3 linked regions of the Drosophila melanogaster genome follow. The protein of the gene in region 1 interacts with the protein of each later gene in a pairwise test. Each region holds a gene or a part of one and is shown on either strand. Other genes may lie near its edges. The genes, in order: Sh, CG11596 and LpR2.

What was found.
Region 2: the proteins of Sh (region 1) and CG11596 interact in a two-hybrid assay, tested with the Drosophila melanogaster proteins (one large-scale study listed by BioGRID).
Region 3: the proteins of Sh (region 1) and LpR2 interact in a two-hybrid assay, tested with the Drosophila melanogaster proteins (one large-scale study listed by BioGRID).

Annotation. Positions count from the first base shown.
Region 1 is NC_004354.4:17,985,850-17,993,287, reverse strand, and holds the start of Sh (shaker), read left to right. Parts: upstream 1-2,608; 5' UTR 2,609-2,954; intron 2,955-7,438.
Region 2 is NC_004354.4:1,923,923-1,931,969, forward strand, and holds CG11596 (uncharacterized protein), read left to right. Parts: upstream 1-3,760; 5' UTR 3,761-3,863; coding exon 3,864-3,997; intron 3,998-4,249; exon of another isoform or gene 4,250-4,343; intron 4,344-4,411; coding exon 4,412-4,658; intron 4,659-5,078; coding exon 5,079-5,248; intron 5,249-5,321; coding exon 5,322-5,462; intron 5,463-5,531; coding exon 5,532-5,789; intron 5,790-5,850; coding exon 5,851-6,271; 3' UTR 6,272-6,588; downstream 6,589-8,047. Other genes in the region: Ocrl (oculocerebrorenal syndrome of lowe), read left to right, coding at 177-363, 606-867, 929-1,114, 1,181-1,513, 1,581-2,457, 2,524-2,710, 2,772-2,996, 3,057-3,244. UniProt on the Drosophila melanogaster protein: S-adenosyl-L-methionine-binding protein that acts as a sensor to signal methionine availability to the mTORC1 signaling pathway.
Region 3 is NT_033777.3:25,735,449-25,743,211, reverse strand, and holds the start of LpR2 (lipophorin receptor 2), read left to right. Parts: upstream 1-2,746; 5' UTR 2,747-2,967; intron 2,968-3,589; 5' UTR 3,590-3,601; coding exon 3,602-4,157; intron 4,158-4,522; exon of another isoform or gene 4,523-5,185; intron 5,186-7,763. Other genes in the region: LpR1 (lipophorin receptor 1), read left to right, coding at 687-820, 897-1,058, 1,200-1,232.

The sequences.
Region 1 (7,438 bases):
ACCCTCGATGTGATATATGTGCCTCTGTGTGTGTGTACTACTCGGAACTACTCGTACTAACTTAACTGCAAAATCTGAATTGTGTATGTAACCCATGTGTTTACCTAGCCGGAATAAAAGTTGCCAAAATCATATTCTTTGTATCTATCTTTAGCCGTAAGCCTTGACTTGATCGGTCAGTTCTATATGCCAAATCATTCTGTATAATCATGCATTAATAGTACTCTAAATGCTTATTGTTTCGCCTTATTTGCCATTCGCACTCGTTGCCGCCAAATGCCTTTGCTTGGCACATGTATCTAGAATCTATAGATAATGATAACTCGTAACTTGTACTGTGTATTGTGATCATATGCTGATACATATACATTTAACAATCTGTCTAATCGCTGTTTTTCTTTGTTTCCTATTTGCAATACTCCACGATACCCACGATGACCGAACTCGATATGAACTAATACCATCAACTTCCAGGTAAGTCACAAAATACAATTATCTAAATTGGAAGATTGTGTGGGCTTAATTCTATAAGGATTTTATGGAAGATAATCTAAAATCTTAAACTATTATTGGTAAAACATTAAAACAAGTGTATATATTTCTCTGCAAGCATTAAGTCATTAAATAGCAAATGAAAACATGAGGTGAAATGTCATTTAACATTAAAAATCTAATTTTCTGAACTGAAGAATTATAAGTACTGCAGCGACTCTTAGAAGATTGCTCAAAGAGGCTAAAGTATCCAAAATGTTGACAATAAATCCCAATCATTCAAAACCTATAGAGTTTAAGAAACTAGTAAGTGCAACTGTTAGAACTAAATGAGCTTTTATTTTTAAACCCAAAAGACGTTCTTATTTTAGTTTATTAGAAAGATTATAACATTTTCTGGATAACTTCGTCTCATTAAAAAAAAATATTTCAATAATATTAGCTTTTCTCCCTTCAATAAATTGTAAAATGCTATTTGGTAAAAACTATTAAATTATAGTTAAAATTTCACAAACGGTTGTATTTTACAACCTAACCAACTTATTCTCCAAATGCTTTTGTGTGGCTATAAAAGGTTTGCGTTCCGATAAATTTTCGTCCAATAATTTTTCAACGCAAAACCTGCATTAGCAAGGACACCAAAGCTTAAAGCTTTTCTGATTTTTTGAAAATTGAAGAGCTTAAAAGCTTGACTAAAACACAATTTCTGATTTGAAGAAAACTTTCTGATAGCTTTTAAGCTGGGAAAACAAATAGCTACGTCAACTTTGTTGAAGCAGAAGCCAGAGCTTTAAGCTGCGCTTTATCCAGCTTTCCGTGGCCCTTTTCTCTCGCTTTCCCTTATGTTTTCCTTTCCGAACTTTCCCATGCTTTGTTTGGGCGCGCGTTTGTGTGCGTGAATGTGCCATGTGTTTATTTATTAATAATTGCATTACTCATACGCCACGCCGTCCCTCGCTGGAAGCATGGCGTTCAAGTGCACACGTGACACTTATATGCGTGTGTCTGTGTATTACTTGGGAGCCTTTACATGGCCATGTGTGTGCGTCCGTATGTGTGTGAGTGTGCAGTTATTCGCATTATTATAATCAAGTGGAGCCAACAAAAGGGAAGCGAAGGAATAGGCTTCGGAAGGGGGGAGCATAACGAGCCCGGCGGCGTTTTAAAGCACACATTAATAATAGAGGAGCACACCTTTGCCACCAAAGGGTGGTGGTGATGCGGTGGCGAGTTGGAGGGCATGGGGTTGTGGCTTTTGTCGTTTCTCCTTCGATTCGATTTTCTCTTGCTCCCGTGTGCATGTGAGTGTTAGTGTATGTTTGTGTTTGGTTCATTTACAGTTTTCACCTAGTTTTCGTGTTTCGGTTGTTTTGCCTTCGGCCGCCGCCTCAGCGGCCCCTAGCGGCATTTGCTTTGTTTGACACCGCCACTCATCCCCGCCGACGGGCCCCCATTTCCAGTCCAGCCAGGAGCTAGAGCTCCATCTCCAGCGGACGGTGCCCGAGTGTCGCCAGAGTCGCCAGTGTCGCCAATGTCCCTGTGCCCATGGTTCCCGCTCTTCTTGCTCAGCCATGTTCACCCAGGCTACTCTTTGGCTTTGTTGTTGCGGCTCTGCTTTGTTGTTGGTTTTCATTTTATTCATTTCGTTTCTTTTTTTTTTTTTGGTTTTGTGTTTTTTGGGCCTCCTCTGGTCGCCGTGTTCGTGCCAAGTGGCACTAAAACTATTTGCCTTTTGCCCAGTTTTCGTATGCCTTTGGCCAGCGGGAACAGGAGCGGTACCTGCCACACAGCACAGTACAGAACATCGCACATCACACATAGCACACACTCGGCACACACAGAACACAGCACGCAACACGCAAGAGGCGCCATCGGAGTCGGAGTGCAGCAGTGGAAAACTCCGTATAGCTTTAGATATATAGCTATACGATCCAGTCCGCTGACAAAGCCGGAGCCAATGCAGCAAAGCAAATCGCACGTGCTCGCCTCGGCCCAAAATGTTCGTGGCGAGTTCGTGGCGCCCAACGTGGGGCGTTCGTGCCACCGCATTTGGCTCGGCTCGTAGTTCGGCGGTTCTTCTATCGCCGGACACTTTTGCAGCGCCTCAGTTCGGTTCAGTCGTCGCAGTCGCAGTCACGTCGTCACAACGTAATCGTGCAACGCGTTCCGCGCTTGGCGGCGACTGTCGTCAGTCAGTCAATCAATCAGTCAGTCAGTCAGTCAGTCCGTCAGTCAGTCGGTCAGTCAGTTAGTCAGCCAGCTAGTCAGTTAGCTAGTCATTCATTCAGTCAGTCAATCAGTCAGTGTGTCAATCTGACAATTGGAGTTTCTATCCAGACTTCAATATTTTTTTACCTCGCTCAAAACCCCCCACTCGCACTTTAAATAATAAAAAAAAGCAGGTGGTGCGTGCCGCGTAGCCGCGCGTGATTCTTGTTGTTGTTTTTTTTTTTTCGGTGAATGTGAGTGTATGGTTCTCTTTTTTTAAATGGTAACTCTTGTTGTTATTGTTATTCCGAGCTTGGTGCGTGCCGCAAAATTCGAAACACAAGGAGAAACTCCATTTAAAAAAGGCGTTTAAAACAGCTTAAGAAGCCATTTAAGCACCCTTCCACGCGCCACAGAAAAGGGATGAGAAGAGAAAAATACACCAGGACATGATCAGAGGCTCCAGGGGAATCCTGGAGTCCCTCCAACTGTATCGCCCTATCTCCGACTGTTTCTGTGTTTGTTTACCTTAATTAATGCACTGGCAAGCGGCAAATGGACCTGGACACTGCCAACATAATTTGCCTAGGGGGCGCCACTCGAATCTACACTGCTGCAGCCTCCGGTGGAATGATGATTCTGATGGTAGTGGTGGTGGTAGGGGATTGTCCACGCCAACTTAGCCCACTGCAGGTCGAGTTAATTAATATTTCACTCTAGTTAAGGGGGAGAAAGTGGAAAATGGTAGGGATTGGTCGGGTGAAGTAGGTTGAAGTAGGGGTAAGAGGCACCAGTGAAGTTTTGCTTATATAAGCAACTTCAATTCCTATTGCCTTGTGCCATTTCCATTCCCATTCCCATTCCCACTCCCATTGCCATTTCCATTTCAGTGCAATTCGAGTGGCCCAAAAGAGCCAGAAGGAGCAAAAGCTGTAGCAGTAGCCTAAAGAGAAACTGGCAAATTGCTCATACGACGCATTGGCGCCGTCAAAAACTGAACGAGCCACAAAAGCGGAATGAGGAGTGGAATGAGCAGCCGAAGCTGAAAGAAAAACAAGTTGACCCAATTTACAATTGTAAATCAAACTTAAAATCACAGCCAAAGTTAAACAAAAATAGAATGGTGGTCAGTAGCAAGAAGGGCAGGCATGTTTAATTTACAATAAGACAGCCTCAAGGATCGAATTCAGAGATCAATTGAATGCCTCGAAATTAAACTGGGCAGTGGCCTTAATATTTGACCACAAATGAAGGCAACGTATAAATTTTGTATGTCAAAAACAAAAACCCAGAAACAGGAACTGCATTGATTGGATTAATGGCTTATGTTTCGTTGCTTCGACCGTTTTCTTTCCATTGTCATAGAGAGCATATATAAATAATAAATACACGGGCTTGCAACACAATTGTGGGTGAAAGCAGGCTTTTCCAGCAATTCGAGCACCTCAGTATGCAGTGAAAACTAAACAGATGAACGCAAACATTGGAGTAATTATGTTGGGGATTTTGAAATGCATTCATTTTGTGGTTTCATCTTTCAGCAGAGATGAGAGGTTTACCATAACTTTGCCATCCGTATTGTTTGGCAAGTCACTTGGATATCTAGGAAAACTTTGGGCCTTCCGCCCTTCGCTTTCCACCAACCACCCAGTTTTCCCATACAAATTAGTTTGGATTTGGATTCTCGCTCTGTTCATTAATTTGTCTAAGAGCAGCTGAGGTTTTTCCCCGTATTACAACTTGAGCACTTGGGCATGTGAGGTTATTATTCAGCCTCGTCTTTGTATTTTTGTTTAAGCTTCTTTTGTTTTCGCTCCTCCTATTGTTTTCCTCTCTATGTTCCCCGCTTTTTTTACGCCTCATGTTCTCATTGTATTTGCGATTAAATTCAAGTTTGACTCGCACACGCCAAAATTAATTGGGCACTTGAAAAGTTGAACAAGTCGATCGAAAGGGGGGCGAATGGTTGCAGGGGCTAGATGTGCCGTGACGGCTCGACAGCTCAGCCTTCTGTTAACCCTTATCCACTCAGTGGAAAGTGGCAAGGGGAAGGAGAATGGGTGGGAAACCCCTTTGTAATGTTCTAGGCAACTGATTTATTTTGATTGAACTTTGCATGCAAGCAGCTGAGGCAACAGGAAGAACTCCTGAGCTTTCGAGCAACAACTGGCAAGTGAAACATCATAAAACAAAGCCAGTTTGTGGTTGAATACGAATACGAGCACAGCCGCAGGCTTGGTCTTGTTGATGGGTTGGGGGGGGGGGTCTGGTTTTATGGGGGGGTTACTACTAGATTGAGGGGATCGGAGGCCATTCGCACGCACATTGCCTGGTTTTTAGGCGGCAAGGCTTAGGCTTAGCTCCAGCTCAATCGTAAATGCGTCGAGTGTGGTTCGTTCTTCTCCGCACTCTTAACCCCTTTGTGCCAAAGCTGCTCGCCAGTGTGCCAGTGTGTCTGTGTGCGTGTGTGTGTGCAGGCTAAGTGGTTATGGCAACAACAGCGCTAATAAATCCCCTCTGCACACGCCTCTGGTGCTCGCTAAGCTCTCCTAATGCCACTGAGGCAACTCGGCTTTGTCTTTCGAGTTGAATTTGCCCAGTATATGGCGCATATATCGAGTGCCTTTAAAGTGGTCGTCTGTCTTCGCAAAAACATCAGCAGCTTCCCTGATTGAATGGTGGCGAATTTTTATTCTTGCCACAACTCGATATATCTGCCAACTGTTTTGCTCCATTTTGTCTTTCCTGCCACGCTTGGCCATTTAGTTTTGGCCCAATTGCTAACTTACATATGTATATATTTATGCGCATATGTTTGCGGTCGGGCATGAACACACACACTACAAGAAAATTTGGCCACCAAAAATATGCACAGAGTCGTATTTTATATATGCTATATACTTGGTGACTTTATGCCTCATATATATATATATATGTATGTAGTATATGTCTTCCGCAACTATAAAACATTTAATGTTGCAGTGAGACTTTCTGATTTCCTTTACAAAGTTTTTAAAACTACTTTAGGGGCTTATAGAAAAAAAAATGGCAAATACTTGCTTTAGTATGCACGTTGATTTTATTTTACTAAAATGTAACGAAATGTTCCAATTAAATGAGCCTTTAGATAGTTGACCTTTGGCAATCCCGAACTTAAAATTGCCAGGGCTTTGGGTGATTTGTGTTAACCTGAATTAGTTCTCAGTGTGCCATCTATCTATGGATATTGTAAATTATTCGCCTGGATCCGGAATCTCTTGCCAGTGGATTTTGGTACTCCGGCCAGAGGCTGTGCAGCTCGGCTCCGAGAAATGTGAAATGTGAATTTCGAATGGCAAATGGCAAATGGGGAATGTAGGAAGTAGAACGGAGAACGGAGAAAGGAGAAAGGAGCACAGAGAACGGAGAAAGTTACGCACTGCGGCGATGGTTTTTGGGCTTTTAATATGCTGTCGAGAGGTGGAAATATGTGTGTGTATGTATGGATACACGGCTGTGTGTGCGTGTAGATTGCACGTGCGCTGCGTGATTTTAATTTGAAACAAACATAGCCAGAGCACCCAAACACACACCAATTTTGCGTTCCTTTTTTTTAAGGTTTTAGTTTCTTCTCTACTCTTTTTTTATATTTAATTTTGTTCATTTTTTTTGTGGCCCCGGCTTTTCACAGTTTTATTTGGGTTTTCCGTTTTCGCTCGGTTCTCATTCCTATGTTTTTTTTTGCCGTTTTATTTGTTTTTTTTTTTTTTTGGTAATTCTTTTTACGACTCAACAAGCAGCAGAAGTATAACAAACCAAAAAGGAAGAATACAAACCAAAAAAAAAAAAAAATAAATAAAGAGAAAACAAATAGGGCGGGTGGCACAGAGAGAACATTTATTGATCTGCGGCCGCTTGAAGCCAATTTGAAGGTCAAGCATACGCACCGTGGTACCTCCGAGATGGGGCCATCTTCGCAGTGAACGAGTTTTGCAGTGTTACATAAAAATATGCAAGCGGCAACCAATTTCCCTACACCCCACCCCATTCGCCACCCCGCTCGTGACGTCATGGTAAATTATTTTCAAATTTGCGCCCAAAGGCCAAACAAGAAGCAGCTGTGCTGCACAAAGCGGAAACGGAAGTAGCAGCAAGGCGACAGGAGGCCACAGCACGGCAAACATAGCATACTTTTCAGGGCTCTGTGGGTGAAAGGCCGTAAGGCTGTACGAAGTAAGGATGTGCGGATTGGAGGACTGAAGGCTCCCAGGCTTGGAGCCTGTAAAGCAGCGACGACTGCAGTTTGGCTCCCGCTGCTCCGCTTGTTGTTCCGTGTCAAACATTTTCATCCACTTGTTCGCATTATCCTGCCAGACAGCGCACAGCGGGCGAGGGCATCAAAAGATGCCGCCAGCAGCAGTAGCAGCAGCAGCACAACCAGTGGCAAAAATTGTTACAATTGCCGTGGCGCATGATGGTTACGGGGGCTGAAAGCCAAATCCGTGCGAGCCAAACGGGCGAGAGAAAAATGAAAAGAATAAAATGGCAATAAACAGGCAGGAAAATGGGCCTGATAATGCGAGAGCTATATACACTTTGCATGCCATGCTATGCGATTGAAGCTATTAAAATTCAAGTAGTTCACTTTTCCTTTACAAAATCCTTGTCCAACCAGCTATGCAAATGGGTTCTTAATAATACGTCATTAGTTCATTGATTCAATCTAAGGCAAGAGATTAATTGACCCTTGTTAGATGTC
Region 2 (8,047 bases), about 16 Mb from region 1:
GGTCAATCATGATTGACTTTTAAAGTATAATGACGAATATTAGCAGGAAACATGCTAAATACACTAAAATGATGATTAATTATCGCTAACAAGTAACCTTACGCCTAAATCACACTCACGTCTTCGCTCAGAAAAAAACCTAAAACGGCTGCTATTAAACAATCCTTTGCTTATAGATATTCGAGGCGTATCAGATCAAAGGACCAGAGTACTCCAACCGTCTTCTGGCCCTGGTTTCATCGCAGTCGGGCGGCACGTTTGCCATCATCGCGTTCTCCTACTTGCGCACTCCATTGTCCTCCGCGAACGAGCTGATCATCAACAAGGTGTTCGCAATCGACCACAATTTCCAGTTGCGACAGGGTGAGATGAAGGGTGCATGTTCATCACACAGCTTGACTATGCTAGCCAAACAAATTGCCCAGTAACTGTTTGTCAAGTAGTCACAAAACCAATAAGTTTGCGCTCATTATTGGCCATAACAGATTACGACTGCATTTACTTATGATAATATTGGTATCTCAAATAGTTTCAGCTGAGATGAAAGCAAACTAATTAGTGAAAGCTCGCTCTTTTTCATATATCATTTTCCAAATTTTTTGCAGACAGCAAGAGCTCGATCACCACGCAACAGTTTGACCTGTCCACAGCCGAGGATGGCCCCATCAAGTACTACTACTACGCCACGGAGAGCCACCACTACGAGGAGTTTGTGGCCAAGGTGATTTCCTTCAAGAGCACCATGGCGCAGCATGATCCCGAGACGGTGCTTAACTTCAGGTGGCTGAATGACTACCGGCAAATCGGAGAAGTGAAGCAGGAGCTGAAGAAGCGGGAGAGCGAGTACATTGTCTACAAGGACATAATGTGAGATGGAAAATGCCCTGTCAAGCAAGAGTTCTCACGCACATTTATTCAATCCTTGCAGCATCTACTGCGCCACTTGGAATGTGAACAACAAGACCTGCAGCGACAGCAACAATCCACTGCGAGCCTGGCTGGCTTGCAGTGAGAAGCCGCCGGATATCTACGCGATTGGACTGCAGGAGCTAGATACTCCCACAAAGGCTATGTTGAACTCCACCCAGGTGCAGGCCATCGAGAAGCAATGGATGTGAGTGTGCCACATAAGTTATATAGCCTCGTTACCGAGAGTCTAAGTTGGTTCTTTCTCCCGCAGCGATAAGATGATGGACAGCGTCCACCCTGACGTAGAGTACGAAATCCTGATGTCGCACCGCCTGGTGGCCACCATGCTGACGGTCATCGTGCGCAAGCAGCTGCGGCAGCACATCATACGCTGCCGACCAAAGTCGGTGGCCCGCGGCATCTTCAATACGCTAGGCAACAAGGGCGGTGTCGCCATTAGCCTGCAGCTCAACGAGGGCAACATCTGCTTTGTGAACTCCCACCTGGCCGCCCACATGGGCTACGTGGAGGAGCGGAATCAGGACTACAACGCTATCGTGGAGGGCATACGCTTCGATGATGGCCGAACAATCAGTGACCATGAGTAAGTTTGGGGAAGAAGGCATAAGTATAAGTCAGTATTATTTCACTCCATCTCTGTCTTTTTCTAGTCACATCTTCTGGGTCGGCGATTTGAATTACCGCATCCAGGAGCCGCCCGGCCAACAGCGACCAGGACCACTGAGCGATGCCCAGACATACGAGCTGCTACTGCAGTACGACCAGCTACGTCAGGAGATGCGGCGTGGAAAGTGCTTTGAGGGCTACACCGAGGGCGAGATCAAGTTCCGGCCGACGTACAAGTATGATCCGGGCACGGACAACTACGACAGCAGCGAGAAGCAGCGGGCGCCGGCCTACTGCGATCGAGTGCTCTGGAAGGGCACGCGCATCGAGCAGCTGGCCTACAACAGCATCATGGAGATTCGGCAGAGCGATCACAAGCCCGTGTACGCCGTGTTCCAGGTCAAGGTCAAGACTCGCGATGAGGTCAAGTACAAACGGGTGCAGGAGGAGGTGCTGAAGGCAGTGGACAAGCGGGAGAACGACAACCAGCCACAGATCAATGTCGAGAAGACGGTCATCGATTTCGGGACTGTGCGATTTAACGAGCCGAGCACACGGGACTTCAACGTCTATAACAACTGCCCACTACCTGTGGACTTCAGTTTCAAAGAGAAGGATATACACGCCATCTGCGAGCCATGGCTGCACGTCGATCCGCGCCAAGACTCGCTGCTGATCGACTCCGCCCGAAGCATTCGGCTGAAAATGAACGCCAATGTGCGCACCATTGCCGGCTTGCTTCGCAAGATCCGTGCTAGCGACAACTTCGATATTCTCATCCTGCACGTGGAGAACGGGCGTGACATCTTCATCACGGTTACGGGCGACTATCAGCCCAGTTGCTTTGGCCTTTCCATGGAGACGATGTGCCGCACCGACCGTCCATTAAGCGAGTATTCCCAAGATCAGATTAAGCAACTCGTGAGTTCCCTTCATTTTTGTAATTACGAAGTTTTTCTACTGATCACGAACCACGTTTCGTTGCAGATGAATGACGAATCACCGGAATACCGTGTGACGATGCCCCGGGAATTCTTTCTGCTGATCGACTATCTGTACAGGCAGGGCTCCAAGCAGGTGGGCGCCTTCCCGTCCTACGACTCGCGTCTCTCCCTCGGCGCTCAATTTAACTCGGTGCGCGATTGGTTGGACACCTGGTCGGATGATCCGTTCCGTAAGTGGACTCTATTAGATTGCCACCATAATAGTTGTGAATATTCCCTTACAATCTACAGCTGCCAACGCAGAGACGGCTGCGCAGGCGCTGCTGCTTTTGCTGGATCTGCCGGAGCATGCTCTGCTGGAGCCGGTGGTCGAGAATCTGCTGGAGTGCACCAACAAGTCGCAGGCTATGGACTACATTTCGCTGTTAAGTCCCCCCAAGCGCAATGTTTTCATGCACCTTTGTATGTTCCTGCGCGCGGGCATCGAGAGTCAGTTCTATGATCTGCATCAAGTCGGTAGGTAGAGAAGCTCCAGCAGCATTGTACCACCATCGTAACGCCATTCCTCCCACACAGCATCCACCTTTGGCCGCATTCTGTTGCGAAGCACCGAGCGTGCCGCCTGGATGGACTACCACAGCCGATGCATACAGTTCATGCGGCTCTTCATCGACACCGACGTCGAGGCAATGGGCAACGGCAATGAGGGCGCCGGAACTGGAACAGGCTCGGGATCTGGGACCCGGGCGGGTCTGCAGGCATAGTCGCCGCAGCTGTGCCGCCGAATCGGAAGCGAGCGATAGATGTACTACTCTGTTGATAGTTACGCATAGTGTTAAGCTATTTATTTTATTTGTTGGTACTTTGTTGGCACTTAGCATTTATATCTTCTCTGTTTTAACTGTTAATTGTTTGTGCCCGCCCTCCGTTCATTCCAACTCGGTTGTCCCCGCCTGCATCACAAATCCATGGAGACACGCAACCAGCAACGCAAAGATAAATGAATTGTGTAAATAAGTAATTCGTTTAGCACGATTGTTTGTTAGTTTAAATTAATGAAGTGACCCTCTTACATCCCCGTTTCAGTTGCAACTGAAAATAAATAACACCGTTACATACAGTATCAATATTCTGAAAAATCTCTACATTGGCTGTTCACATATTTGGCCACGCCCGCCAAAATTTTCAAAATTAAAAGACGCGCTACGGATTTGTGAGTACGGATGGTATCGATTAAATTCCCAAAGTTATCGACAGTGTAACCAGATCTAAAGTGGCGACTTCAGTTGACGGCAGAGACGACAGCAGAATGCAAAGGCAACGGATTACTCCCAGGATTTAAATAGCATAGATTATCGTTGAAACCGCTGACGACGCGCCCAGATGAGCTCCATGGACTGCGCCACGTTCCCAATGCATCCTAAAATGGACGAGCAACTGGCCCGAACCTTCGTCATCAACGAGGAGGAGGAGGAGAAGCACATTCAGAAGGTGCAGAACGCCTTCCTTTACTATGGGTAATTGTTATTGTTTTTGCGCTGTGTTCTGGAGCACATGCTCCAAACGGACGCTTGCCAACCGATCGTCGTTGAGGGGGGGCGGTGCGGTGACAGCGACATGTGCAGACAAGCTGCCGACAAACTACCGTTTCGTTTGGCGCCAGTGCTGGCGGTGCAGGAGTAATCACGCCAAATCTGGCTAGTGTTTTCAAATGGCTCACCGTTCCTTAGAAGACGCATCTTCTAAAGTATCCAATAGAGCCAAACTACAACTGAGTGTTCATTACCACCATTACTGACATTTGGGTGAAAAATATCTGCATACCAAAGATATCAGATTGCCCATACAGCGTTTGTAAACACTGTAGTGTGTCATCACTGGTGATAAGCGTGCTTGCTGATAATGGAAATCAATTAATTTCTCCCATGCAGGCCATATGCGTGTCAGCGGCTAAAGCGCTCCATGGATTACCTGAACAGCCTGTCTGGCGAGGACCAAATCATGCTAGCCAAGTACCGAGGGCATCTGGAGTGCGTGCGCACGTGCATCGATCGCAACCAGGCGGTTATCCGGGAAATATTGCGCGGGCGTGTCCTCTATCCGACGGATGAGGCGACTGGTGATCCCTCGGAGTTTGACGAGCCGCCGCCAAATGTGCGGCACGGTGACATGGACCAGGTAATTGACTACATCTGCGGTTCAATGCGGAAGCTAGACGGCGCTCCTTCATCATCCCACAAATCCCAATCTAATAGAATTTATGTTCCTCTTTTTACTTTATCTTCTATTTTTCCTACCGCTTTGTAAATGGTCAGTTGAATTTGTCCCTCTTTATATTTTCAAATATTAGAATTACTTTTGGTAAAACAAGGGAAGAGTAATATGTATCTTTAAACTGGTCATTCTTGTGCTTAAAAATTGTTTCTACATGTCAATAGACTACTCACCTTACGTATAGTTTAATGTGCTTGGTTATCCTCCAATATCTTCAGTTTCTCTTTTAATTATTGATTGGAACTATTCGGTATTGTTTCTTTTCCATATCTGTGCACGACACCCAAACCATGCATCTCGCACCCGCTCTAATTCAACTCGCAGATTGATATTCCATTCGATGAAGCTGACGTTGAACCTCTAAAAATTTTAAAGGCCCAGTCGACGTTGAAGTTGATTGCGCGCGACTGGAGCACTGAAGGAGCCTTAGAACGGGAGCAATCGTATAAACCGATCATCGACAGCATCGTTGCGTACTTCAAGCACAGCGATTTGTGAGTGACTACTACACTAAGCGTACTTTAGTGGTCTTACTAATTAATTATTCATCTGCTTTATCTTAAACAGCGAGCTGAAGGATATAAAGATCCTAGTGCCGGGAGCGGGGTTGGGACGGCTCACCTACGAGCTTGCCTGCTTGGGGTACTCGTGCGAGGGCAACGAGTTTTCCTACTTCATGCTGATCGCCTCCAATTTTGTCCTCAACCTGTGAGTCCAGCTCAGTACGTTGCTTTCTAATGCTGGGTATTGAACGTGCTCTGTTGTCTCTTTCGGCAGCTGCGACAACGAGAACAAGTACGTGTTATATCCGTGGGTGCACCAGTATGTGAATAACTTAAGGCGTGAGGATCAGGTGGCCCCCGTTCGTTTCCCAGACGTCTGCCCGCTTAAAAATCCACCCAAGGGCCATTTTGAAATAGCAGCTGGCGACTTTCTGGAGGTCTACAAGACGCCGAACGCCTACAACTGCGTGGCTACGTGCTTCTTCATCGATTGTGCCAATAATGTTATTGACTTCATACGCACAATTTACAAGTGAGTTGCACACATTTGAACGGGTATACCGGCGATGTTGATTTTAACATTATCGTTGCAGAATCCTCGTGCCTGGTGGCATTTGGGTGAATCTCGGGCCGCTGCTGTACCATTTTAGCGACGTCAGCGGGCAAAACAGCATCGAGCCGGCTTTCGAGGACCTTTGCATTATCATGGAAAGCGTAGGATTCGTTATCGAGAAATCACGCACCGGCATCCGTACCAAGTACGCACAGAACCCGTCTTCAATGAAACAGAGCGAGTACCAGAGTCTTTTCTGGGTCTGCCGCAAGCCGGATCTATTTGAGGAGCAGCGGGGCAAACGCAAGGCCTCCAGGGAGCCACACGATCTTATTGTGCGCGAGGACAGCGAGGAGGAGGGGGAGCAACAGCCGGAACGAAATGAAACGGAAGAAAAACAGCAACTGAAACCGCTGGCCACAGCCAACTGCGAGACTGAGATAAAGGAGCAGCCATCGTGATAGCCATTGAACCAAACTCAACAACACATCCAAACACCACAATCAAGTCCAAGTGCAAACCCACCTACAGATGGCATCACGAACATCTTAATTACCACGTCACAGGCAAGACAGGGAATCGACACTGCAGTGCTTCGATGTTATAGATTACACTTTATACCTATTATTTACTCCTACACACTGTTATATATGCCAGTTTTAATTTTTCAAAGGATGCAAATTTTAGGACAATTTCTCGCTCATTATGCTCATCATGCTAACTTAAATGGGAAAAGCGTCCCAACTAGGTCAACCAAATATATCAAAAGAAAATTTTTAAAAATTAAGATAAAAAGTTTTTATTTGTTCAATTACTAGTGGCTTTAAACCGATACCTACCAATTCGATAGCCTTATTAAAGTTAACGCAAGTTCCACTTGCATCAGGGTTCTCGGCACTCGCTGCCGCATACCTCACCTTGATATGACAACCAACATGCTGTGGTTCTCCAAATAATAGTCAAGATAGTTAAGAGGGTTCGAGTTTACGATTAGCTTTATTTTAAGATTCAGTTCGCGATCTGCTAGCGGTTCCGTTATGTGTCCGTTCGAGACTGGGCCTCTTCTCCCGCCCCGCTGCTTTTATATCCGCTTCCCCCGTTGACCCCTCACCCTGAGTGCGACCAACGGCACTTGTTCCGAATGCACACATACACAAACATGTTCCTAGACAGGCCCCGAGTCGCCTGCTGACGGGGCCCGAAAACACGAGAGCCGAGCGCTGGTGAGTCCTGACGAAGATCGCAAGAAGAGGGTTCGTAACTTACACGAACATGTTACTAGACAGGCCCCGAGTCGCCTGCTGACGGGGCCCGAAAACACGAGAGCCGAGCGCTGGTGAGTCCTGACGAAGAGCGCAAGAAGAGGGTTCTTAACTCCTCCCCCCTCAAGATCTGCGTCCCGCAGATTAGTGAGCCTTGTTCAGCTCGGTTTGGCCCAATGCTTCTAAGTTTGCGGCAATCTCGCGGACATCGGGCATGCCTTTGGTGGACATCAGCTTCTTCCATAGGAAATAAAAGCCTAGGAATATGCAGATTGCGAGTGCCGCCTCGGTGAGAAGAGAGGCTAGTAGCTCACTCGCCATGTTGGACATCTTTTCCAAATTCTTCATGCTCACGTCGTGGACGTATTCCAGAGAAAGTTGAAAGTTGCTGGCCGTTATGTGGCTCAACACGGCCGGCATCGCCATTAGATGACTGACCGAGTAACTGGAATAGTTTTGACCGTTGACCATTATCGTCTCATTGTCGAATTGGATGATAAAGGAGCCGATCAGGTCGTAGTTCTCTGCAGCCGTTCTTAGAGTTCCGTTGAAGTTGGTCAGGAGGAGCATTCCATCGTCGACTTGCTTAACCACTCGTTGGTTACTTCAGTAGCCGAGGGATACAGCTAGCCTCCTCCAGTTTTTGCAGTTCCTCGAAGCCGTCGCTTGCGCGGCCAAGACGGCGTTCCAATCAGCAGCATCTGGAGATCCAGCTACCCATTTCCAAGCCGACCCCAGCCAGTCCAGTGAGCGGGATTTGCGCCGCATGCAGAAATCGCGCTTACAAAAAGACAATTCGTAAATATCTGGTCGTCTAAGTTGTTCTAAGACTACGTAGTGTGTGGGGGTACGGTACATTTTGTGTACTTATATTTTTATTTTTTTATATTTCTTATTTCTTATTTCTTATAATCTGTATTTTTTTATATTATTTTTTTTATAGTTTTTTTTGTATTTCTTTTTGTATTTCTTAAC
Region 3 (7,763 bases), on another chromosome or scaffold:
TTGCCATTTTCATTCCCAATCTAAGTCGGCGGCAGGCCGCTTCTTTCGCATAAAAGTTAGCGCCATCAAAGGCGCGAGCGCGTTTAAGTGTTTATTTGCGCCTAAATGCGCACTTTGAGCGATTTGATTGAAAATTCCTTCGCTGCTGTGGAGAATGGAGGATTTGAGGGGGATTCTAAGCGGCTTGGATTTTGATGTTGATTCCCTTTTTTTTGCTCTGCTTCTTTATTGCAATGATTTCCGTTTGCCTTTTTATACAGTTTTCCCTTTTGTTTATCATTGCCGAAGGTGAAGTAGCGTTTAAGCCCTGTCATAGTGCGACAAAATCTGTATTAAAGGGTTGGAAAAATGTCGTAGTTGTTCAAAACATTAAATTTAGCATGCTATGAAAAGGATTGTTTTAGATCCTGATTTAATTCGCTTTTAATGTTGTGTGTCAATTATTAAGAATTTTTGAACTTTTTGTAGCATGTTCACAGTTTCAACTATTTCAATTTATTTGTTAGCTCTAAAAATTTGTTAATAACGTATGTTGTTTTTATTGTTACATATTTCATAACACGTTTGAATATGTTTATAAACTAATATAAGTTTGTGGCAGTTGTGTTCATATTTGTTCGATCGTTTTTTGTTCATCTATTATTTTATTGAAAATTTGTCTAATTCCGACTTAATTTTTTCCGCAGTTGCCGACCAGCGTCCAGTGAAAAACCATACTCAAATCGAAAAGACCACAACGCCCAGTGAGCAGCCGGATTCCGGCTTTATTGCACTGGTGGTCATAGCCAGTCTTAGTGGATTCGCTGTCCTGCTATCGGTGGTAAGTTGATTGGGCAGAGATGTGGCGACGTTCGGGGTATTCAATTAACTAATCAATTTATGTGGTGCCCTGACAGCTCCTGCTCATTGGCTACCGCTACTGCAGCAAGCGACGCATCAACTCGATGAACTTCGAGAACCCCATCTACCGCAAGACCACCACCACAGAGGATCACTTCAGTTTGCGCAAAAATCTGCCGGCGCGGATCTACGACCACACCAGTGTCATGGATGAGGAGGTGGGTCTCCAATTATTAATTACCATAAAAATCCAAGTATAATGATAAGCATTGGGTTTAACACACCCGCAAATGATTTAATTTCCCTTCCATAATATTAATCGGTATACTTATTATAATTTATCTTAATTTATCTTGCAGTACTCACCCGTCATAGGCATATCCTCGTATTAGATTGATTCCTCTGGAATCGTGTGAAATGTGGATTGGATGATTGTTGCGCTTGGTCGCTGGGAAAATTAGATGACCAATGCTAACTCGAGACCCGCGGCAGAAACACACACGCCTGAAGACTGAGCAACTCTGTGTATTGTGTAAATTAATTATTTTAAAATTTTAAGGCACGGCAAGGACGGCGGGTCACCTTGGAGCGCATCCTTAAAGGATGCTGTACAAAATACTATGTCGCAGAGTTCTATCACAAATAAACAAAAGAAAAACAAAACAGAAATAGTTACGAGAAACGTAAAAGGAAACGAGAAATCTAATTGCTAATTATAAATTACATAGTTCCAAACTGTATATAGCTGTAAGTGTGCATTATTTTTAAATGACGCAACTTAATATTACTATACGTAAACATGACAAAGAGATCATTGTGCTTATGGTCTACTATTAGAGCAAGTTGAGAAATTATATTTCTGTTGTCAAGGAGCAGAGTCGTTTTATTATATTAAAATTATTACTGCATACGTATTAGCCTTTTGTTAACTGTATTTGTTAAGTGTACATACATATGTATATGTTTCCCCACTAAAAAGAAAATATGATGAATAATAAACTCAGAACATACTTATGTGTAGCGTACTCCTGTGATATAATTACATGACTTTGTGGATGGGATTTTAATTTGATTGATTTCAAAGTGTGAGTGGTAAGTTGCCAGCTATTTTTCCAGTTTTTATTTCCAACATTGTCCAATTTACAATTTTTTGCTGAATTTGTAGCATTTCGTTTCATCTTCAGATGCACAGCTGTTAAAAATGCACATATATTTCTGTTCCTTGAAGAAATCTCAATTGGAAATGTACCGAAGGGGAATAATTCATCAAAGCTTGATGATTTTACACTTTGATGATATCCAGACTTGCTAAAAGCCCATCGTGTTTCTCAAGCATCTTTGTTATTCAAATGGAAACCATGTTATGAATTGAAATGCAGAGGTACAGGTGCTGTCAATAGATCAATTTCCGCTACAGTAAATGGTTTAACATTTATTGACCAATTGTGATTTACGTGTGTCTATGCTACAAAGCCCATTACTAGTTTCAATCGAAGCCTTGACTGATTGACCCGGGCCAACAAACAATTTAGACCTGTAATTTTAGAAATTGCTACCTCACTAATTGGATGCCGAAACGACAAATAGTGGAACACACCTCCAAAATAGATTGATACACGTTCTAAGAGAGCGGCCGAAGAGAGAACCACCTGTTAGCTCTGATTCAATGTCAGCTTATTTGCGCACTGGTAGCTTTGTCTTCTCTTTGTGTTGGAGATCGAGGCTTTTGATTTTCAACGCTTTGGGGCTCCCCCCGATGATGACGTCGACACTCTCTTTTCTCTTCGCAGGTGTGATATGGTACGCGTGGCGATCGTCGGTTCGTTGCCGAACGAAAGACGAGCACTGCCGAAGTTTCTAAGACGGTTCCATTGGTCCGCTCACTTCGGAAGCGATATTCCGGCAGTTTGTACTCGCAGTGCGTGTCGCTAGGTCGTCGCTGGTCGCTTATCGCTCATACGCCCCATGCTTTGGATATAACTTCACCGTTAAACCGAGAAATTTCGGAATGCGAAAAAAGTTTCGGAAAGCAAAAGTTCAAAGCAAATAAAAAAAAGTTCAAGCCGGGGCTTTAAGGCCAGCTCATCGCATTTGTCGAGCGGAAATAAGTGTTAATTAAAAAAAAATGTATGAATCTATTTTGGCCGAACGTTACGTCAATATGTCATGTGAAAAAACAGCATAAATTTTAGTCCAACATGTGTTTTGCCATTCAATAAAGTAAATACAAGATTTGAACAACCAGAACCCATTCCGAGCTGGAATAATGGTGTCAATGGGTAGTGGCTGCGCATGACTTACCAGGCTTACCTGGCTTATCAACCGTTATACCGCTGATAGCAGATATATCCAAATAAAAAATTATTTTAATGTTTTAAAATGAGTGAGAGGGACAGCATAAGGGGCTAACCCTCGCTTTGACCAAAGGCGTCGCCCTTAGCTTGCAGTTTTATGTGTGTATTTCGTGTTTTCTGTGCTCTTATGCTGTTTTTTCGCAACATCGTATGTTTCTTTTTCCCTTCATCGCCTTTTCCGCATGTTTATCGTACCTATGCCTTACACTCTCATCCCGATACAGTCGATTCATTCTCTCACTTTTGTGAACGTTTTTTTGGCAAACGTTGCGTGTATTCGCCTAAACTTATTATTTAATGGACGTGTATAAATAAGTTGGCAAATCGAACCAGAGTGAAAAGCGTGTGTGACCCACTGAGCCTAAAGTGCAATTTCTACCGTATATATATTCTAGCAGCTGCAAAAGATGGCCACAACCTGCATGCCGCATTTCACGGAATATTTTCAAACCACCACCCAGTCAGAGTTAACAACAAATGAAAGTGCCAACAGCAGAAGCAGCAGCAGCAGCAGTGGCTGTAGAGAACCGTCCAAAACCAGTGGCTTCTTCTACAGCGCCAGCACACATTACCAGAGCAAAGTGCAGCAGCTAATCAGCTTCAGCTTCACCTCATCGTTCCACCTGCTCTTCATCACCTGCATACTGAGCATCAGCAAATTCTGCAATGCGGCGGCGGTAAATGCCGCCCATGTGACCGCTGCCACGCCCACTGCCAGCGAGATAATGCACAATCTGAGCGGATCGGCGCTGCTAGAGCGTCTGAAAGCCAGTACTCTGGGACCCACCCTCGATCAGCTGAAGCATCTGGCTCCTGCGGCAGCCAACAGCATTAGTCCTGGTACAGGATCTGGCATGGGAATCGGGATGGGACACTTTGGCAGTTCCATTAATTCGGTGCTAAACGGAAATCCTTTAAAGTTCTTGAATGTGTCAGGAAAAATCGGCACTCCTTTGGACATATGTAAGTTTTTACAAGCCCATAAAAATGGTTTATTCCTAGAAGTTCTAAATGCTAGAGGTATTTGTAGTTATAAATCTTTTAGTCACTCTTTTTATCAACTTGTATTTATTTTTATGATTCATGAAAGGCTTAAACATTCATACATATTGCCGGCGAATTATTAGAATTAGTCAACTATTAACATCACGTCACAAATTAAGCTTTCCATCATATCAAAACTAATCATTTTTGTAAGAGTTGCCGTATTTTAAATATCTATTAAAAAGCTATGAATATAAAATTCAAAACTAAAGTGCAGAATAATCAAAATTTAAACTGAAAAATAATTTAAATCACAATATACTTTGCAGCCTTAATTGAGAGTTGTAAACACTTAAGGCTCGTAATCATGGTTCGACTTTGTCGGATCTTCTTCGATTTCTCCGAGTGTAAGGGGATGCGGTGTTTATAGTTGGTGGCTCCAACTCCAACTCTCTCATTTCTGGCGATCATGCCACCAGCCATGTGTACATACGTATGCATACCCCGATTTCCAGTCCGACTCCGATTTTAGCTAAGGCTCCGACTCCGACTGACTCGGCTCAAGTTTTATTTATGTGAATTTTGTTGCCAGCCGAAAGCCAAAGCGTCTGGCAATGCCAGTAAACTGCACTTCCATTTCCATGTCCCAACATTCCACATCGTCATACGATTTCCAGACTGCAGAGCTCTTTCCCTTTTCTCCCCATGCTCCGTGCTCTTTTTTGTCGGCAGAAACCTTTTACTTTCCTCTACAACTCGCCTCTGCTTACACTGTAATAAAAGTTCCACTAAAACTCATGCTTAAAGTGACTAAAGTACCGGGATAAAATCGAGTGTGGCATACTTTTTGGCGTGCTATATATGACATTAAAAAAAAGGGTTCTTTAAAGTTCAGAATTTATGCATTTTCTTTCGGTGTACACTCTTTGCTTGTTCTGCTTCCCCTTATAATTATTCCATTTTATGCTTATTTTTTGTACCGGCCGGCATCGCTACATGAAGCGAATGGAGCGCCACTTGAAGACTTAAACTCCGGCGGCTCTTGTGAAATGTACAGAGAGAATACCGAGAAAGAGAGAAGAGGAGAGAAACCGTGGTAGACGGGGGAGCAGAGAACAAAAAGAGCAACAAGTGGCCGATTCTTGGAGTTTCTTGGCCTTGCACATTGGTCAACGTTTTTTTGTAAATCGATCCGAGCACGTGGCAGATATATGTACATTCTACTCCAACATAAACTGGAAGTAGCTCGACTTATTTATAAACATTTGTTGTTACCAAGCTGATCTCGATATCTATTTTGATTATCCCCCACCCAGAAGTAATTCAAGCACTTTAAAAAATATGGCTTAGCTTTAAAAAAACATAAACAGAAGATTGACTAACGAAGTAATTTTAGCTTCAAACGCGGCTGTTTGTAAATGACATTGAATAAGCAGGCAGTTTACATAAAGGCCTACGTAAAACATTCAAAGAACATTCAAAACATTCAAACATTCAAATTGGTAAGAAAATTGCTGAATAATCAATTATTTGCGCAAATTAAAAGTACAGTGTAGAACCAAAAATACAATAGACCCTGATTAAATATCAGGGCATAGTATCGACCATTTCACCATTGTTAGTCGCTTTTAATCTGAATATTTTAGTCCATCATATCGAAATATGAATAGTTTTTGTTATGTTCGCAGTAAGGGAATAACAAATGGTTGGACTCCAAGCAAGTTTGTTTTTAATCTTCAACGAAACCTTCAACTTGGCTAAAAGCGGAGGGTTAAAACGCTTTGGATTTAAGCCAACGAATGTCAAAGGTAAAAACAAAATTAATAACGCTGGGTCATGATAATAGCCGTAGCTTTAAGGTTAAAAGCAGATGATTGAAAGTGGGACTAGCGAATTATAAACCGTTGCATCAAAAGATAGTTTGCCATCAATCTATGTCAAATTTATTTTCGTGCTTTTAAGTGGTTTCTGGTCGAGAATTATCAACTCCTGTGAGTAAATGCATTTCCGCTGTACTTTTGACAGTTTTAATATAAACCAATAGCTCAGGTGCCAAATAAATCGTGAGACAGGATTTAATACGATTTATAGGTCATGGCATGACAGTAATTTCCGCCCAACTAAACTTGTAGTAAGCCAAAACGAAATCATTGCAAACTACTCGGGAGGACAAAATTGACAACTCTCATTTGGCAGCAAGTTCTGGGCACGTCCTTGACAGCTTTAATGACTGCTTTTAAACTGCGACAACGCAAGTTTCCCAGGCATCGACTTCCTGGCCGAGCTGATTTATTTCAAAATCGAATTTAAACAAGTTTGCAGGCGACGATGGCGAGGAAAAAATCACCCGGCCAGTCCCAACTTGGCCGGGACATTTTTAATTAACTTGGCTAATTACGCCTGGAATTTGCACGTGCTCTCTGGATCCCACTGTCCCCGATACAAACTTGGTCCCTTAACTGGAGTTGGCTGCATTACAGACCGTCTGCCTTAATTACAAAAACATTTGCCATTATGTATAATTATGAGCAACGAAAAAAAAATTATTTTCATTTGTGCTTTTGTTGAAAACTGGTTTCCAACACTAATGGAAGCCAACAAAATGCACTGCAATTGTTCGTGCTCGAGTGACAAAATTCATAAGCGATGCATGCAAAACACAATCTAACTGTGTTAACTGTATCTCAATGCTGGCCTGAAATGAAATGAAATCTGCCAACAAAGTGCGAGGGTCAGACCTTCGTTAGCCTTCTATTTCCCACACAGCCCAGCGAATTTCTCTTCTCAAATTGGTTTTCTATTTTCGGGCATTCAATTAAAATATTACGCATACGCAGCGTTGGCGTGGCGCATTCAATTGCAAAGCAAAAAAGGTGGCGTGATTTGTTGGCTAGCATTAGCTGGGCTGTCAAAAAATTCCCACAATAGATACTAGGAAAGTGCATTCATTAGAAAATCAGCAGAGCATATTCTCGCCCGGCGCTATATCTCACAACAAACAGATGATGACGTTGGCGAAATTCCGAGCGCCTGTAAGGAACATCATTCATTATTAGCAGATAGTACTGAGTCATCTTAATGCCATTTTCGACGCTCATGCGACTTTGGCCAACAGATGTGTGAATAATTGTTATTGTTGTTAATAATGTTGTTTGACTGTTTTGGTCGGCTATGACGTTACCGATCAGGCCACCTTTTTTTCCACATTCAACAAAACTGAAGCCAAATAAGCAGCTACAATAACAAGACACTCGTACTGAAGCATATCGAACGAATTCACTTCTCTTGCCAACATTTAAGAGCCGTTTCAATAGTTTCTCTTATGTTTTTTTTTAACTTTAAAGAGCTCATGTGCTGGTCGGTTTTTTGTTCTTAAGTTCAGAGTTGACGATCCCCTTCGGAGAGGGCAAACTGTGCTGGTCGGTATCCAAAGCGCAGTGCTCACATGATTATACAATTATTATTTGTTGATTATTTTTTATCGTCGTACCAAAGGTGCCCATTTTTATCAGCCCATATGTTATCTCCACAGCAGTGGAAAAAAAATCACACGAAATTATTAAAATTATGAGATAATACGTTATG